Tribolium castaneum: one gene and its partners. The main gene of each other region encodes a partner of the protein of the gene in region 4 in a complex. Links are inferred from orthologs where the notes say so. Each region holds a gene or a part of one and is shown on either strand. Other genes may lie near its edges.

Evidence for each region.
Region 1: SWIP (region 4) and Strump share a complex: the UniProt entries of both Drosophila melanogaster proteins name them as parts of the WASH complex. The link is inferred for Tribolium castaneum from reciprocal best matches to the Drosophila melanogaster genes SWIP and Strump.
Region 2: SWIP (region 4) and wash share a complex: the UniProt entries of both Drosophila melanogaster proteins name them as parts of the WASH complex. The link is inferred for Tribolium castaneum from reciprocal best matches to the Drosophila melanogaster genes SWIP and wash.
Region 3: SWIP (region 4) and CCDC53 share a complex: the UniProt entries of both Drosophila melanogaster proteins name them as parts of the WASH complex. The link is inferred for Tribolium castaneum from reciprocal best matches to the Drosophila melanogaster genes SWIP and CCDC53.

The regions. Positions count from the first base shown.
Region 1 is NC_087394.1:25,592,484-25,597,566, forward strand, and holds the start of Strump (WASH complex subunit 5), read left to right. Parts: upstream 1-1,934; 5' UTR 1,935-2,141; coding exon 2,142-2,263; intron 2,264-2,310; coding exon 2,311-2,413; intron 2,414-2,457; coding exon 2,458-2,649; intron 2,650-2,701; coding exon 2,702-2,913; intron 2,914-5,083. Other genes in the region: tRNA dimethylallyltransferase, read right to left, coding at 1-69, 116-254, 300-535, 888-1,025, 1,499-1,618. UniProt on the Drosophila melanogaster protein: Acts at least in part as component of the WASH complex which may regulate wash nucleation-promoting factor (NPF) activity and is required for its membrane targeting during endosomal sorting.
Region 2 is NC_087403.1:4,500,754-4,504,799, forward strand, and holds wash (WASH complex subunit 1), read right to left. Parts: upstream 2,637-4,046; 5' UTR 2,536-2,636; coding exon 1,453-2,535; intron 1,395-1,452; coding exon 1,206-1,394; 3' UTR 1,157-1,205; downstream 1-1,156. Other genes in the region: uncharacterized protein LOC103314773, read left to right, coding at 632-731, 776-828, 875-1,023, 1,074-1,116; adenosylhomocysteinase-like 1, read right to left, coding at 3,800-3,806, 3,854-3,974, 4,024-4,046. UniProt on the Drosophila melanogaster protein: Acts as a nucleation-promoting factor by activating the Arp2/3 complex to induce actin polymerization. Participates in both linear- and branched-actin networks.
Region 3 is NC_087402.1:710,619-715,498, reverse strand, and holds CCDC53 (WASH complex subunit 3), read left to right. Parts: upstream 1-1,576; 5' UTR 1,577-1,707; coding exon 1,708-1,758; intron 1,759-1,818; coding exon 1,819-1,983; intron 1,984-2,054; coding exon 2,055-2,293; intron 2,294-2,343; coding exon 2,344-2,386; 3' UTR 2,387-2,466; coding exon of another isoform or gene 2,467-2,604; 3' UTR 2,605-2,650; coding exon of another isoform or gene 2,651-2,824; 3' UTR 2,825-2,992; coding exon of another isoform or gene 2,993-2,995; 3' UTR 2,996-3,707; coding exon of another isoform or gene 3,708-3,812; 3' UTR 3,813-3,813; downstream 3,814-4,880. Other genes in the region: RpL36A (large ribosomal subunit protein eL42), read right to left, coding at 2,467-2,604, 2,651-2,824, 2,993-2,995; acidic leucine-rich nuclear phosphoprotein 32 family member B, read left to right, coding at 3,708-3,812. UniProt on the Drosophila melanogaster protein: Acts at least in part as component of the WASH complex which may regulate wash nucleation-promoting factor (NPF) activity and is required for its membrane targeting during endosomal sorting.
Region 4 is NC_087403.1:8,604,966-8,609,806, forward strand, and holds the start of SWIP (WASH complex subunit 4), read right to left. Parts: upstream 3,024-4,841; 5' UTR 2,575-3,023; coding exon 2,523-2,574; intron 2,472-2,522; coding exon 2,344-2,471; intron 2,295-2,343; coding exon 2,135-2,294; intron 294-2,134; exon of another isoform or gene 1-293. Other genes in the region: scramb1 (phospholipid scramblase 2), read right to left, coding at 3,411-3,470, 3,524-3,850, 3,901-4,118. UniProt on the Drosophila melanogaster protein: Acts at least in part as component of the WASH complex which may regulate wash nucleation-promoting factor (NPF) activity and is required for its membrane targeting during endosomal sorting.

The DNA of each region.
Region 1 (5,083 bases), on a different chromosome or scaffold from region 4:
GAGTTCCTGTAATAACCCTTGTTCCATCATTTTATCGACTCGATTATTCAATCTTTCGTTGAGTGTTTCCTGAAAATGCCGCTAAATGCCTGATTGTGGTTTAGTCAAGTTTTACTTGTTCGCATTCTAGTTTGAGAATCAGAGCGTTGGCGAATCGTAGGGGCCCCCCTGTGGCAGAGCCCCCTTTGGCCCCTTGCTGCTCGTTTAAAATTTGGCTGTGTGGTTTGCCTTTCTGCTGCAAAACCTCCAAAGATCTGGAAGAGAATGGTCGAAAAGTGCGGGTAGATTGGCATTTTCACCTCAAAATTTTGCGCTTGTTGTTGGGGTGCAGCCTGCGGGCCATGGCGGGGTCCAGAAGCTGCAATTTTTTGTGCAGCTCTTCGCTGGATAATTCATGGTCGATGTGTCTGGATGGTAGCGCTTTTACATGGTCCCCGGGTTCTTCAATTAAAATTTTCCACAAGAGGGACTCGATATAATAATTAGTTCCACCAACGATGATGGGTAATTTATTTTTATTTATTAAATTCTCGATCTGAATAAAATTTAAGGAATCTTGGGGAAAAAAGTGGGGCATTCTTGCTTTTATGGCTAATAAAATTCGGGCGTTTGATATGCAAAAAATGATTCATTTGTTCCGGGGATTAATTATTTTTTCAAATATGCTTCATGAATAAAACACCTGCTGCAGAGAGGAGGAAATAGACGCAACAGCTGAAATTGTAAGTAGGACCTAAATTTATTTTATAGTAATTTTATTTCCAAGGTCACAAATTTCGGTTTCAGCCTTGATTGTGTGGTGTAATGGACTACACGTGGAAATGGGTAGAGGAAACAAGTGACGAAATAAGCAAACGTGTTAAAATTTCTTAATTTCTGAAGGATACAATTTTTAAAGCGCTATTTCGGTACTGGACCACCGTAAAAGTCTCATGAGGCTCCAGAATGTCAATTAGGTGGTGAGGGGCCACGTTTTGTTCCTCTTTCGTTGCTTTCGCTGTTATAATATCGAGGCCTTTGTACACCTACATAATTTTTTGTTACGTATTTCGGAAAATAATTAATTAACTTTTAATGTCGTTGAACTTGGGTAAGTAAACATTTTCAAACATTCAACCGCAATGAAATCATAATTCAGACGATGATTTATTATTCCGACCTTTGCTCGGGACTTCTTTCATACAGGTGTTAACTTTTCGTCAAGTTAATCATTCTAAGTGCTAAAACAATTTGGTAGCCTTGAACGTGACACAATGACCGAGCAAGGCTACCGCCTTTGTTTACATGGAGTTTACGCCAATTTAACAATTTCTCATGTTTGAGACGGGCGGAATATTGTTAGAAAATTAAAAAAGTTATTAAATTTAGTGACCTTGAGTTATGCAACCCATTATGCAAGGTGTATAATTGGTTGCACACCGATTTAAATCAATTTTACCCATTTTTTTGTGATAAAAAAACAGAATTAAATAAATCATGAATTAAAATAATTAAATACCTGCATCGAGTCTGCACTTATTATCTCCCCTTTAAATTTCTGCGCCAGTTCAAGGGATAATTTGGTTTTACCCGAACCGGTAGCCCCCAAAATAACAACTAATGGTAACCTAAGGGCCATTATTGGGCACTAACAAAGTTTTCTCATTTATTTGGGGCTGGAATTAATAATTTTCACAATTAATTAACTTTTACACAACACGTGTTTTTTTTTAACAATTTATGAATAATTTGTACTTGACACTGTTAATAATAAATAAAAATTAATAGTATAATTACCTGATATCAAAATTAATAAATGTTGTTGTTTTTTGAGTTTTTATACCTCGTGTTTTGGCACTTTTTCTCAAAACTAACCTCAAAATGGACTGTCAGCTGATTGTACACTACAAGTCACTTTTAATGACCCCTGACTAATTTTCGAAAATTTAGATTTACATATGAATAATAATTGTGGTGTGTTGTATCGGGTGCAAGTATGTAAACGGTTGTCCAATTAATTCTGTAATTGGATATTAAATACAATCGTGTTTTCGCAAGCTCATTATTTCGTCCTATGACTGTACAACCTGTTAATAACTGTCATCAAAAGTGAGGTTATCTGTGATTTTTTTTATGTAAATAAACAAGATTTTTTCACGAAAATGCCGGATTTTCTGGCAGAAAATAACATTTGCGGCCAGACAATTCTCCAGTTAGTCTCACGAGGCAATGCCATCATTGCCGAACTGCTCCGCTTGAAAGACTACATCCCCCAAACTTACAGGTTTGCAAAACTAAAAATTTGATTTTTCTTGTATTAAACACTTGCAGATTGGGGAGCAAGGAAGAGGTTCAAAAATACGGCGAGATAATCATGGACTTTAGCTATTTTAAAATTGAGGAAGCGCAGAATTACAAAATTGAGAATTCGGAGGTAAGGCTGTTTTTGGACAGAGAAACTAAATTAAAAAAGTGTAGTTGTTGCAAGATTTGGATGAGGAGTTTCGTGATAATCACATCGAGATGATTAATCGGTTTTATCTCACGTTTGAAAGCATCCACACTTATATTACGGATTTGAACCACTTTCTTGACGAGTTGGAGGAAGGGTTATATATCCATCAGAGTCTAGAGACGATTTTTGCCGACATGGAGGGGAAACAACTGCTTGTAATTGGTTTTTACGTAATTGGGGGGCCAATGACGGAGTTAATTTTTCTAGTGTGAAGCTTTATTTTTGTACGGTTTAATGCTGCTAATCATAGACACGTATATAGAGGGCCCCATCCGTGAGAGACTCCTAGTGTCTTACTATCGCTACACTCCGCAAAGAAGCGACACTCAAAGCCAAATCGACGATGTTTGCCGATTATTACGCGACACAGGGTTTCACACGGCGAAAAAACCCAATAATTATCCTGAGGATTATTTCCGGTAGGTTTGTAATTCAATTCGCTGCTCTAGTGAACAGGTAACTTTGTTCTTACCAAAGTGTCTCACTTCGAAAAAATTACTAGATATGATGAAATTTCATTAGGCCTGGCAAGGCGACAGACATCTCGTGATTTTTAAATTAGTTATAATTTGAAAATACACAACCTTCTTTGGTGAACAGAATTTCAGAAGTCGATGGATTCAGGGATGTAATTATTTTGCATAAATATTATTATTTTGTAAAAGATACGACGAAAAATCGCCAAATTGTGTCTGAAAGGATGTAATTTTTACATTTTACGAGAATTTAAGAGGTTTTTAAATTAGGGTTTTGTGGAGTGTCGCGTAACCGGGTCGAAAAATCACTGAATTTTGGTGCATTTTTCAGCCAGAAATATATTTGTTTAGCGCAATTTCATCAAAAATACCCCTAAAATTGCCAAATTATTGCGAAAAATGAGTAGTTTTTTTTGCAAACTTTTGCTATATCGACTTGCAAAGATACTAAGTTGTATCGAAAATGACATCTTATTTTTGCATTCTATCCAAAACTTTTGGTGAAAAATAGGTCGAAGAAACACCGTTTTAGGCCCAAAATAACGTTAGTTCAATATGCTTTCAGCTAGAGACTGCATTATGTTAAAAATTTAAAAAATATGCAATTTTTGAATGCTAAACCACTTCTTTGATATAGAACGCAGTTTTTTTGTAAAATTTTGCTAAACTTTTGTTTAAACAAACACAGAATTGGATAGAAAATCATATTATATTTAGTCGTGATTACTGTATAAGCCGAAAAATCGCCGCTTTAGTATTTAAACAAAATTTTTGTTTAAATGTTGTTATTTTTGTCTTTCCCCATCTATGTATACTTACTTAAAGTCAGAGACTCAATTTCCTCAAAAATTATACAATTTTTGAATAGAAACGTGTAATTTTGCTGTACCATGTTGAAAAAACTATAAATTGAAATTGGAAAATGACATTTTTTGCCGTTTTGTATACAAAGCGATCAAAACGCCCTTCTTTCAAGTAGGCGTACAATTTGAGAACGTACAGTTGTGAACACAAAAAAAATGGGACAAGTCTTGTAGCAGATTCTCGATAAAAGTTAGTTCATTAAAACGGATTTTCATCTTAAGTTTTATTTGGGAATAAAATTAACTAAACGTTCTTTGGTGACGACATTTCGTACTTGCCGAAAACAGTACTGTTAATTTCTTACATTAGAGTTTAAAAGTATGTGGTGGTAAATACTAGTATTGCGTTTAGTTGTGCATTTTTTCGTGATTATAAAGTATTTGTGGATAAAAAGTGAAACAGATTTTATTTATGATTACAAAGTGTTATTAAAACAATTGCGTAATCAAAGACTATACGTATTAGATTATAATTTATAACGGAAAGCGAACACATGTTGGGCTCAAAACAAAAACAGTTAATTATTATTGAAGTGTGTGAATTTGAAGTTAGAATTTTTCCACTGAAAAAAAACATGAAACACTTGCGTGAATCTACAGAACTGATGAAGATTAACAACTGCTGATACATTTAAGCATAAATTGCTCTAAAAGGTAGGTTTTCAATATCTTGTTAATAATTATAATACAATAAAGTAAGTGAACAAACAGTCATTCCGTTATTCGTGTTTTTCTTGTGATTTCTAATGTGTCAAAATTCGTACCTTGCACCAAATATACAATAGCCCAAAATTCATACAATGCTCTAAGTATCTGAATAAATATTCTCCCGCCAAAAATCCAAAGTAATCAAAACTATCATCGTCAACATTAGCAATTTGGTTAAAAAGGAAATAATTTCTAAAGCTAAGAAAGGTTTCTAATCAAAAGCAAGATTAATTTACAGAATTAATTCTAATTATAATTAGAATCTCGATCGCCACGAGAATAATTATGTTACACCAGCGAAAAAAATAACTGACGTTATTATACGTAATAGTAAATCGTTTTTATCCCAAAATAGTCTTAAAACATTTAACTGGATTTTCTAAATACACCTCTTGAAAACTTGCAACATAACAATAATTTGCTTAATTTTTTTGACATTTGGCTTGGGTTCTACGCCTACTTAATAGAAGAACTTTTCGATCGCTTTATATTAGCACGAATCCAAAATTTTTCTTGAAAAATCCCTGCTTTTTGGCTCAAAA
Region 2 (4,046 bases), about 4.1 Mb from region 4:
TTTCGTGAAATAAGTGACCTGTTTGTTTGGGCCTAAAAGTTTCGCGAAATAGGGGTTTACTTATAAAATGAGGCAATTTATGCCTGCATTAAATTAATTGCGCATTTCAAGCCGCTTCCTTTAAACGTTTTTGCAAAGAAGTAAAAAAAAAGTAAGCAGACAAATTGTATATAAAATATAAAAAAAAAATTTTTTTTACTATTTACTTTCTTCTTTTCATTCTCATTATTTTTTTTATTCAAGCTTGATTATAATTATTTATAATTAAGGATTATGTTGGAATAGCTTCGGCTAAACTTCGCCCATAATAAAGATTATTTATAATATTTAATAATATTTTTATTATTATTATTATTATTATTATCATTATTATTATTATTATTATCATTATTATTATTATTATTATTATTATTATTTTTATTATTATTATTTTGCCCCTCTAAAATAATGTACAAATGTGTATTAAAACGGGATTAGAAAATGTTTAACACAAAAATAAGCACGGACTTGTTTTTGTGTTTAATTTTTAAACTTTCATCTCGCGCTTCTTTTCGTCTGTCAGTCATTTGGCAGCACTGCCACATTTTTTGCCGCTAGTGTGAGGATTTGAAATGTAATTTAAGAGTAAAAAATGCCAAAACGGCCTTATCCGGATTACGATATCGTACAACCGGTGAAAAAACAACAAAATAGTTTATCAAAATCGCGGAAAATTCGCTCATCGTCGTCAGGTAACCACATTGAGGTTATGTCAGTTTTTTATTATTTGTTTCAGAGCGGACGCTCCAGTTATTATATAAGGGGGCCTCCAAACGCGAGAAAAATGAGGTAGAATATGTGAATCGGTGTGAGACTTTATTAATTTGATTTGTAGGAACCTCATTCACTGATGTGTACTGTATGTTCAAAAGAAGCCCCCTCGGGGGTCATTTGTAACTATTGTGAACACGCGTTATGTTTGCAGTGCACAAATATGTGCCATAAATGCAGTAATGGGTTTTGTAACGATTGCTCATTTCCCACGTGAGTGGCTTTGTTCCGAGTGGCTCAAAAAATTAAATGTTTTTTTTTAGATACGATCATAATGTCGCAGTTTGTTATTCCTGCTACAGTTAGCGCACAATTGTATTAATTTATTGGGTAAAGAAAACAATCATTATGTAACATGATAATATTTATTGATATAAAATATAATATTAAATGAATTAATCATCCCAGTCTTCGTCTTCGGTATTATTCTCGTTGCTCTCGCTACGAATGGGCGGCGGAATCATGGCCGAGATTTTTTCTAACGCACTACTTGCGTCCAAACTTTCCTGCTTTTTAGTACCTGAGATGCCCTTCCTGCGCATGGAAAGCTTGGCGTGCAAATCAGCCATCAAGTCGCCCCCAGTCTGTAAAACAAATAACTAATTATTAAACTTTTTCAATCAACAAAAGTCGAAAACTAACCACGGGTTTTGCCGTCGTTTGCTCCCTGTCGGCACTTGTGGCTTTCAAATTTTTGGCGCCCCCCGCTTTCCTGATGGCCTCCATGAGGCTGGCCCGCACGTCCAGCTGGGGCAGTTCGGTGATTTTGGGGGCTTCCTCCACCTGTTCAGTGGGTGGTGTGGGCGGTTTGGGCGTTTCAACCTTCTCTGGGACTTGCTCCTCAATTTCTTTGGCGGGTGTTGGGGGCGGCGGGAGTTCGATTTCGGGGAAGTCCTCCTTGGGCTGGGGGTTGGCGGGTTCGATTGTGGGCAGGTCGGGGATGTTCGGGGTCGTGGTGACTGAGGGGGCGATCCCGGGGCCCAACTCCGTGTCGTACCGCAGGTCGTCGGCAATGTTGGGCAAATCGGGCAGATCCAGGGGCACGTCGAGCGCCGGGACTTCCCCCAAGTTGGGGGTGTAGAAGTAGTTCTGGGTGGAGGAGCGCGTCAGGGTTGAGCGTTCGCTGATTGAGAAGGGGGCTGCCCCGATGCTCGAACTGTCGTTGTGGTCTTGTTCTTTGATTTGTTGGGAGATTTCCAAAGGGTCGGACATTACGAAATTCGTGTAGAGGTTTTTGCCGGAATTGTAGAGGAGTAGGTCGTTTACGCATTCCGAGTCTTTGGGGATTTCCCCCAAGCCGCCGAACGTCTCTTTGTTCTCATTTTTTTTGAGTTTCACGTGGTAGATGTACAATTTATCTAAATGTTCATCGTTTGATGGGGCTTTTTTCTGCTTCACTTTATGTCGTACTAATTCAGGAGGTTTAACGTCGCTAAATATTGAAATATAGGGTTGATTTACATCGGACGCTGGGTATTTACAACTTGAAAACACTTGTGTTGCTTTTTTTGCACCGTTCAATTTGTTTATTTTCATTTTCACTTTATCGACACGTTCGGATATGTTTGATATCTTTTTTCTGCTAGATTCAATTCTGTTATTTATATGTTTTAATATGTCATCTGTTACGTTCGTTAAATGATTTAATACTTCAGCCACCTGAACGATTGTTTCCTGTTTATTCAAGTTTTGAGGGATTACAGGTACTTTGTAAACATGATTCATTTTAAATAAACTAACTACATTAATTAATTAAAAAAATGACACTACACTCTACACTTTTTGCAGGTTATGTTTTGTTTTTTACGTCATCTTATCACAGCAGTGTCGCCATTCGCAAGCTCAATAAATTAACATTTACTAGTAATTTCAAATTGTGTTAGGACAAAAAATTGTTTTAGGTTTTAGGAATAAAAATAAAACACATTGACGTATTAATTTCTATATTACGGCATAGAAAGAAGAAGACGGCGGACCCGTGGGTCACGCTGTGAATGATGTGATTTGTGGATTAAAATAAAATATCGAAAGAAAGATATAGATCTAAAGATAATTTGTATACAGAAGTACGTTTAAAAATGTGACAATTCTGTCTTTGAAAGCCTTAAAACAGCCTTCAAAAACAGAGTCGCAATTCCGGTTTCTTAACAAGAGTTGTTGATTGCTCTGCTGTAAGTTGATAAAGGCAAGTTATTGTGGAGTATAATTGCTTCAGTAATTTCTTCAAGTAGAGCAATTAACTTGTAACAATTTGTCGTAATATTGACAATAACAATAATAATTTAAAATGTGGAGGACCGTAAAAAATCCTCATTATAAAATAATACTTTCCAAAATCACTAACGTCAAAACGGCTAAACAAACTGGTTGCATTTAAATTATTTTAGTGCTAGAGGGTGTTGGCACTACTTAATAAAAAGCGTATCAATTCAACTGGACTAGCGTCTGGGATGAGACAAAACAAACAAACCATTGGACTTCATCACAAAATCAATCAGATACACTTATTAAATCCATTAATAAAACCAGAACGAGTTAAGTACGTAACTTAATACAACTAAAACAATGACATACTAGACCTGATAGTGATTACATATGCACGAGTTTTGTTTCAAACATGTAAGTAACGTATTTTTATTCACGGGAAGGCGTTTCAACATTGCGCCAATTTTTATTAAAATTAAATAAGATCAGAAGCCTTACCCATGAATCAACAGTTGAAACAACGTAACGATTTTTTCACAATTAATGTTTCATAAAATCCTGAGATATGTAAATAAATACTAGCAGAAAAAATACTGTTTGTGTTAAGTAATAATACTTTTGATTCAGTAAAATTATGAAACATGAATTGGTTGAGCAACCATTAAAAAATGATCAATCCTGCATTTATTATAGCTAAACTATCTGGCAACAACTAACATTGACTTAATGCTACCGTGTTCCTTTATTCCTTCACCCCGTTTATTATGGATAAAACTTTATATTTTTAATACCTTAAACGAAAACATCAATAATCGGCAATCAAGCCAAACCCGCTTACCTATAATAGTTAGGCTTGAAAGGTCCAGCTTTATTTAGGCCCATATACTTAGCCTGTTCGTCCGTCAATTCAGTCAAGTGGGCATCAAAGGTCGGTAAATGTAAACTCGCTACATACTCATCTATAAAACTTTGATTAGAATTTTTCCCACTCAAACCTAAGGTCAATACCCATTTTTTTCGGTAAAAGATAA
Region 3 (4,880 bases), on a different chromosome or scaffold from region 4:
AACTATTTATACGTCAGTTTGGCAATTCAAATTTGACGTGCTAATGTCACAATGTTTATTATTTATGTTTCTGTTTTTTTTTTTGCTTTTTTTGTAAGTTAATTCTTCGAAAATCATTTGAAAAAGTTATTTTATCTAGAGCGGTCTTGCTTTTATGTCATAATCTGACATTAAAACTGTCACTGATGTGTCAAATTTCGCGTTACAGCCTACTCTAGGTATATTTTTAGCTCGTTAAAAGTGACACTGACAGTGCTCATGTCTTATATTTGAATTTTTTAACCTTTTTTTAAATTAAAAAGCCGCGATATGTCGCCTATTACGCCCAAAATCGAAATCCCCCATCCATCAATGGGGCTGTGATCGGAATTATTACACAAAGTTATACAATTTTAAGTGTGTTGATGTTCAATTGTTTGGAAAGTTTAAAGGTAGATTGTTAGTGTTTTCTAAAGGCTTTATATCTTTATATCAGCTGAAGTATTAAAGTTTTTTACAAGTAAACAGTCTTTCATTGCGTCATAAGCTGCAGCCAACTGTCACCGGAATTAAGGTACATGAATGTTTTGCATGATTTTTTCTTATAACTTGTTTTGTTTTATTAATTGGTTGAGCTTATGTTGGCTAACAATTGGTTTGTTTAGTAGTTTTGCGTGATTTTAAGTTAATTTGTGATTTGGCCAATTTATTAATGATTTTTTGTTAGGGACGCACCAACCCTTCCTACTCAACATTCCATCCGAAGGCATTAAAGTCGAGCCCAGAGGTAATTTAATTTTATATTTTTCCCCGCTTTAGTGTTTTTTTCTAGATAAGGCGCCTTCGCCGTACGGCGGGCAGATGTTCGAGGCGCCCATCCCGAACGTGTCGCCCCATTACGTGGCCCCCACGCCCCCGGAAGCCCCTCTGTTCCAGAACGTGCTTCCGCCAATCGGAGGCATGATGAACTGGAATATGCCTTCGACTTCAGTAGTCGGCGATATGTTAAACATGAATTGGAATCCTTCCGCCCAAAATGATCTCAGTGGTGTTAATTTAAGTGAAACGCCAAGTGGTATAAGCAGTTTATTAAATCTGGACAATCAACAATTGGAGTTGAAACCGATTGACTTAAACTCGGGTGATTTAAGCATGCTTGAGACAAATAACTTGTCAGAGACTTTCACCCAAAATCTATCGCTTATGGACGAGAGTGAGGGGCGCCAGGAGCCGAATATGACTGATAGTTTAACGCGATTGGCCAATAGCGCGCTAGATAATATTTGCCAAGCTAGTGATATGTACAAGGGTGCTCCATGAAACCACCATTACTTAAGTCTAAGTAATGCAAAAGCGAGTTCAATATTTGACATTAAATATAACAGTACTGTGTACCGCCCTAAATTCAATGATAGTTTTCTTATAAAATTGTTAAGGTTTGTAGTTTAGTCTATATCAAGTTTATTTATACTGTGATTGTTTTTATATTTTACAAGATGCAATGTTATTTTATAAATCTGGCATAATAAATCTGTTTTATTGAGCGTGTTTGCGTTTGTTAATTGCATAAAAAGCGATCCTTTCGCCACAATCTAACCTCAAACGTCACTTTTGACAGCTGTCACTCAGGTTCTTTGTGTCCCTTTGGAGCCAATTAATTCAATAAACTTGTGCCGATGCCTTGATTCCCCCTAATTTTGAGTGTTTTTCACTCAGATAATGTAAATAATGCAAGTGAACGACCTTTCCTCAATTGATCCAAATGTGGATTACACGCAGGTAAGTCTTTGAAAAAAGCGACCCATTCGAGCAACAATCACGTCCAACTTCTCCACTTAGATTTTACCCATTCAACAAAAGCGCACGATTGCTTTTATCAATCATTTCGTAATGAATACGGTGTCGTTTTTAAACCATTTTGCACAGTCGTGTGAATCGCGTTTGATGGAATTCGAGTACAAACTGCAAGAAGTTGAGGCTTCTTTACTTATACTTGAGTCGCAAGTAAGTATTGAACAATGCTAGAATGCCTTAAGTTCCGATTATTTGGCGCAAAAGTGAGTCGGTTGTGTTAGTTAGGTTCAATTGCGCATTTAGAAGAAAACACTGCAAAGGACTCGCCTAAACAAAACGATTTAGATCTGCCTCCTGTTAAAGACGAGGAGACGCAAATTGAAAAAAATGTAGAGGTAGAGCCTGATGTTGCGTCAGACCCGCGATATCAACGCTTTTTCAAAATGTTGCAATTTGGGGTTCCCCCAGCTGCTGTCAAGCTGAAAATGCAAACAGAGGGACTTGACCCTTGCATATTGGAGTAAGTACTACTATCACTGGCGAATCAGCAACACGTCCGTTATTTTTTAGTTCCAAATCAACTGATACGCAAGACAGTTCCTCGGTTAATTAATTGTGTTAAAAAAACATTGTTAAAAGTATAAATAAAACACGTTATGAATTTTTACAAAATGTGTTTATTTAGTCAAACAATTAGAACTGAATCATTTGTCCCTTGCGCTTCTTGTCGCCACCCAATTCAAAGTGCTTGCAGCGTTTCAAGGGAATCTGTTTCCTATATTTACATTCAGTGCATTCCATCCTGAGCACGATTTTCTTGGTGGTTTTAGCCTAAAAACACACAATAGCCCCACACTCAAAGTAGGTAAAAAAATACCTTCTTCCTGAAGATGGGCTTGGTTTGTCCACCGAAACCTTGCTGCTTCCTGTCGTAACGTCTCCTACCTTGCGAAGCGTGACGTTCCTTGGACTTTTTGTATTGGGTGACTTTGTGCAACTTGTGCACCTTGCATTTCTTGCAGAAGGTGCGCCTCTGCTTCGGGACGTTAACCTAAAAACAATGACATAACCCCACAATTCATCAAACGTCCTCAAAACGCGAAAATAAACAGGAATGTGCCCTTCCAAGGACGCCAAATGCACGAATTCGCTAAATTTTCGGTAATTCAAAGGCCGATTATTGCGATTTTTTGAGATATTTGATTGAAAACCTGCTTACCATCTTGGGATTTTCTTTATTGCAAAAAAAAGAGAGAGATGCAACGTGTCACACTATGCGCATGCGTCGTTTACATTGGCGCGAATTTTGAATTGCTATATTGGATGAAAGATAGAAAAGTGTTTCGTTATAAGTTTATAGAGTTTTAATTCGTTTCACGTGGTCGCAAGGAAAAATAGAAGAAAAAGTTTTTAAGACGCATTTTTGCGGCCACAAGGGAAAGGCGTTTTAATTAGTGGGTAACAAGTCGTGCCGAATAGTTCCCTTTTAAATTGAGTCAATAATCGGCTGTTTTTCTGCATAATAATAAAATGAATGTGATTGTGGAGGGAAATTTTTTGAAGAGCGCCCCTGGCGGTGGCATACTCAAACCACGTTTTTAATCTCGGTCCGGTTCGTAAAACTCAATCCGTGCTCTCGGAACCCTCATGAGCAAACACCTTGCAATTAATTTCATAAAATCTGGCGCACGTTTTTTGGGTCCGAGACACCGAAAAAGCTTGGAATTTGTTGTCTTTTGGTTTTTGGCGGTTGGTGTGAATAAATAGTTTAGGGAGTCGAAAGCCGGTCACTCGTCCAAGTCCGGGGCCGATCGGTTTGAGCGGCGCCATCTTAATTTTTGAACAAAGCTAACGAGTAGCCGGTCAGTAGTGTTCAACGTTGGTGAACGTCACTTTTCGATAAAGCGTGAAACCCACACAGGAATATAAACAAAATGAGTTCGAAAGAAAATAACGAAGTTGCTGTCGAAAAAATCGACAACGACAAAAGTGCGCCCGACGCCAAATGCGAGTTAAAAGGCACGAAGCGAGCGGCGGAGGTGAGTTCGACTGTTTCTTTCGCATTTACGCTGCTTTGCGATAAGGTCACATGGCCGTTGGATGTTGTGGTCGGGATTTTCGCGTGGAAAACGCGCGGAAACGCCGTTTTCACGCGTTTTCCGCGGGATGGTTGCCATGTGAACGGGGCTTTTTCCCGGCGCGGAGGCGGCTTTGCGACAATACGATGCTAAATTTGTTGTTGCCATGGTGTTTTCGACTGTTTTTCATTATGGCATGCGGTGTAAACACGCTTGGAAAGCATCCCGCCATATACAATGGACCCCGGGTTGAGGCTAGCATCGCTTGCTCGATTCAATATGGCGAAATCAATAGCAACTTGGAGGCGTCCTCGTGCGAGGCTAGATGCCACACTAATATTTTAATAACATCGGATTCTAGAAAGATTTCCGCGTGCGAGTTGACGATTTCGTTGCAAATTTCACGATAACCCGGAGATTGACCACTTTGGTCCGGTTTTTCAATGCAAAGCGTCTCATAAAGCTCGCTGGAATCAACAGAGTTGGACATTTTTGATGCTACGCTAACGAGTGGCAAAGATTAAGATCCATCATGGATCAGAATTGTGAATGAAAAGAGCGTTTTTAGTTAGTTTGCTTGTTTATTTCCATTTTCTCGAGCAAGTCGTGGTAGCCATGCTTTCCGCGGCCCACTTGGCGATTTTCTGATCTGACGTATTTTATTTCTCGGAGAAATTTTCCCGCCATTGTCCTTGACGCATTTGAATTTATTTTTGTATTGTATTAAACTTTATTAATTGTTTTTCTTATCAAACGAGATTATCGAACGGTTTTGCAAAAATTCACCCGACATCAAATTGTTTACAAAAATTGCAAACTTTATTTTATTATAATTATCAAGAATTGTCATCTTTATTATATTTAACCTTGTGCCACAGTAGAAATATACTTTCGAGTTAGAAATTAATGTTTACCACTTTTCTAATTTCAATTTGAAAAAAATTATACAGTGAAACTTCAGTGACTCGGCTGTCGGCAAGAAAATTGAAAAAAAAAGTTTTAATAAGCAGTATATTTTTCAACAAAAAA
Region 4 (4,841 bases):
CTTTATCGATTTAAGCAATAAAAAAGTAGTGTTAAGAGGGCAAAAAATTAAAAAACAAAAAACAAAAAATGTAACCCAGAAATGCTGCAAAACACCCTGTACTAATTTAAATCAATCAAGCTTAATTAATGAGTCTATTAGACCTTGCTCAACACGTACCTAGTAATAATGTCATCAAAAAAGCACTATTTCCATTTTTTAGTAATTTTTAAGATGTAAAACTGATTTTTTTTTGGTTTTTATTTTTTTAACAGTAATCCCTGAACTGATTTGAGAAGGACTTTATGGAGATGTAATAAGCTAAAAAGGTATCATAATAAACACAAAAAAATAATAGCATGCTATTAAAAAAATATTATAACGTCATACTTTTTTGAAACAATCTGTATAGTCAAAAATATTTTCCGAAAATGTGTCCTAGAGTATAAATATCATCTACAAAATATTAAAACATCACCTTATAAGTATAATAACCGAGCTACAGAAGATGGGAGCTGGCCTAAACTACCCCGTATTTTAATTTTTTTAATAAAATGTATGCATTGTTAAAAAAATAACATTTCAAAAAAAGTAGGACTTTCACCACTTTAAACAAGAATGTTCAATTTTTAAGGACATAATTTTTTTAGCTCACGAAATCAAGAAAACAAAAAAATTAAGAGGTTTGTTAAAAGATGAATAACTTAAATTTTTTAAATAAAACACCCTATTTTTTATTTTTACTCTATATGTGTACCTAAAAACAATAACAGTTAAGTGCCTCTTGCTGTTTACTCAAAAGATATTTAACTTGTAAGCATTAAAAAAATCATTAAAAATTATTAAAGTACCATTGTTTCAGTAGTCGAAAAGTGAAATTTTCAGCTAATAATAACTTTGATGCCATTATTCGTCATTCCTTGCAGTAAAAAAATAATTACAATTTTAATATTTATGATAGATTTTTAAATGCCTGCATAAAACTCTAACAAATGATCCGTGGTGGAGTTGCTATGGTTATGGTAACCATATGGTAAACCATGGTTATGCTTTACTATGGTAACGGCAATGCTCATGAATCTTTTCCATTATTAACTTAGGGTATTCGAAACTTTATGTTTTTAGATAGATTTCATAATCCTTGAGAAGCAAAAACAAAAAATAGGGTGTTCCCCTATTCACGTTATTTAAATATTAACAAACATCATAATTTTTCTACGTTTCTAATTGAAATGCGTTAATCAATTGGTACCGATTTAAGTTTGAACATTCTTCTTTAATGTAGTCAAAGTCCAACTGTTCTAAGAATCTTACGTTTTTGAGCAATACATTTTTAAAAAGTGCGTGTTTTTTTTAAATATTTCAAAAACTAAGCAAAATTGACCAATAAAAGTTAAGTCTACACTCTAAATCATTGGTTCTAAAATCTACATCCAAAAATGCAAAAAAATGTAGGATGTTCAATTGAAAAAACATAAGTTTGCACTGTAGCTAATTTCGGAATCATCCTGTATATTTGAAAATTCTTTCAGGTAAGGCAGGGGGTTAGTATTTATGGCTTAGGGAAAAATATTACTTTTCTAACATTGTTTAAAGGTGAATAATAGTATCTGTTTAACAAAATGGTTCCCCTCCACATTATACGAATGATTTCCTATTTATTGCCCTAAAGAAGCCCCAAAAACGTCAGTTATAAATTATATAACCAAAATAAGCTTGTCTGTCTTCAATAATTAATTACACCACAGCGAATAGTGGATTTTACCTACCCACTGGGACAACCTGTATATAGGGGATAAATTAAATGTAGTAGAACCTCTATAACCCGAACTAATTGTTGCCAAAAGTTCGCCCGAATAACGATTTTTTGCTGTTTTCTTCCTAAGAGTGTTTCTACCTTTCCTTAATAAATTAATATTAATTTAACTTTTTAATAATAAACAAGTGGTAAATTAACTATAACATGATGCGCAATGCATAAAACGTGGTCGTTTTAGAAATAAAAGGATTATTAAATAACAAAACACTGCGCAATAATTTTTAAGTCGTATCTCAATTACTTTGAGAAATACATATATTATTTAATTTTTCCCACCCTGTTCATATCTCGGATTGAATTTTTGTGACAAGATTTGATCAGTTTATATAATCGTACCTTCCCCATAGAAAACAAAAACGGGATAGTACGTCCTGGCTTCCTCCACTAGTAAATTAATTTCTTCACAAACAGCAGCTAAACTGGCCAAAATTCGACTCAAAAGCTTATTATCTGAGTGTACTAAATGCAACAGAGACACATTTTCAGTTCTAGAGCTCTAAAATCACAAATATTTAAAAAAGCCCCTCTTTTTGCACCGATTGAACCTGAAGTAAAATTGGCTCTAATCGCACGTTGAATCTATTTGGAAGCTTCTCTTTAAAATGATTTAAATCAGCACTGTACTTATCTAAAAAATTGCCGTACTGAAGCAGCTGTACTTCACCAATTAATCCTAAAATATGGTTTTATAAAATTTTGCAGAAAGTTAGGTTATGTTACTCACTATTGGTTTCAGCATTTAATTTCTTCTCAGCTACATCTCGGGGTTCAAGCATTTTATTGACGTTTTAAGCGTACACAGTTTCTATTACAGTAATTATAACATTGTTTTAAAACGTTTAAAAAGAAAACAATTTTAATAACACAACTACCAACTTAAAGCACATTTTGACAGGTTGACGACAACAGGAACAGAGGTTGGAACCACTTTTGAAACATCCCTAGGACGCCAAGCATGCGCACTAACACCAACCCACCAAAATAAAAATAATATTTAACAAACGGATCTTCTACTTTTTTGTTTCAGTTTTACTTTATTATAATTGTGTACCGTTTGCTAAATAAAACTTTATTTACTGCACGACAACCAGACAGCTTTGCCCGTTATTTCATTTAATAATACAATTATTACAATTTTACTTACCTGCTTAAGAATATGAAATTCTTTATTTTGAACATTTTGAAAATCAATGCGACCAGCAATATGGACTATTACGTTAGCTTTAATTATGTAATAAGAAGTAAAGGGGTCCGGAAAAGTACTACTTTACGTACTATTTTGGGCATAGTTTCAGTAACATTTAACAGAGAAGCGTTAGGTGTAATTGTAGTGCAACAGAATATGAAAAATGGAGTTAATAAATGAAAAGCAACTAATGGTAACGTTATATTGGTAAATTGTACAATTATTACGAGAATATAATATGTAAACAGTTAGTTATAGTATTAAGAATATATATAATATATTAATTTATAGTCGGGAAGGCCATTTTCTAAGCATCAGTTAATAATATTAAATTGACACGTCTTTATAAATTCAACAATAAAAAATACATTGTGCAACGACGCTTAAAATAAAAATTAACCACACAATCACATAAATGCACAAAAATTAAAGCATGCCTGGAGAATCCTCTTCTTTGTTTCTCGACTTTTCAAAGAACATAGCATCCTAAAAAGAGACAAAATAACATGTGACCAAATTTTCAATATTCTTAGATTTACAATTAAAAAGCAGGCTCCTAGCATAACAGCTTTCATTCTTACGTCCAAGTCCATTGGAAACGTTATCCCAAAATAATCAGTATCGGTAAACATTTCTCTGATAAGACCCGACCACTGTTTGGAAATTTTTCCCACTTGTGTGTTACCATCAGCAGACATTATCTTAAATTCAACGTCTCCACAAATACTGAACGTACAAAACGGTCCTTCTATTCGGAGAACCGTTTCGCCACTTGGATTTTTAATCGCGAAACTTGGGCAAAAGATGCTCCATTCCTGCTCCACACTTCCTACAACTGTGCCAGGAGGCGCTGAAACTTCTATGCTCTGGAATGAATGAATGAAATGCAAGAAATTCGCGCGGAAATCGACTGTACTTGGAGGCAGCACGGGAAACAACAAGAATCACACGCTAAAGGACGGTGCAAATGAATCACTTCGTTTTTGTAATTGTCTAAAATGTTCATGTCGAACGGCCGAATTGGACCGCAACAGTTTCGAGTTAAACAATCGGAGTCTTCGACGGCGTAATATACTTTTTGGCCTAAGCTGTTTTTCACAGTAAATTTATTTTTGGTTTCGAATCCAGTGAGAGCTGAAACGGGTTTGGGTAATGCATAGTCACTCAAAATGAAAATGACGCGTCCATGCACCAACAACCTGTCTTCAATTTTTTTTGTTGGTTAGAACAAACGACAAATAAAAAAGAAAGTAAAAAAATACAAATTTAACTAATCAATTATTTGCCACGTAACAAACAATTCTTATTTTATTTCTTTAGAATACCATTTCGAATTAATGAACAAAACTAAAGATTAATTAAATTATTCGACGATTTTTTGGCTTATTACTTATTAATAAAACGCAAAAATTCACAAATGAACAAAAAATGGGTTCAACAACTTAAAAAAGTAGAAATAACTTCTTTTTAGACTAAATTATTGACAAAATTTCGCTTAAAGACAAGCGAAATCGAGTGGAACCGGCACAGTAACATTAACTTTGTTTGATTTTTGTGATTGTGAGGCGTGTTTTGACAAGATCTTCAAAATAAATAAGTTTTAGGTTCAAAAACAAACACAACTGATTGATAATATAAATTTCTATTAGCTTGTTAATTTTTATCAATAATAAAAATTTGTTTCTTCTTGTTTAATTTCGTCTTATTTTAGTAGATTTTAGATGTTTTTAAGCCAAAAAATTAATTAAAAACAGACGAAAAAAGTTAACTTCAATTCAATAAAATATGAAATAAATTTGCAAACAAATTTAATTTTTGACTTAAAGAATCGAAATGTCGGCACGAACTTGTAAATTG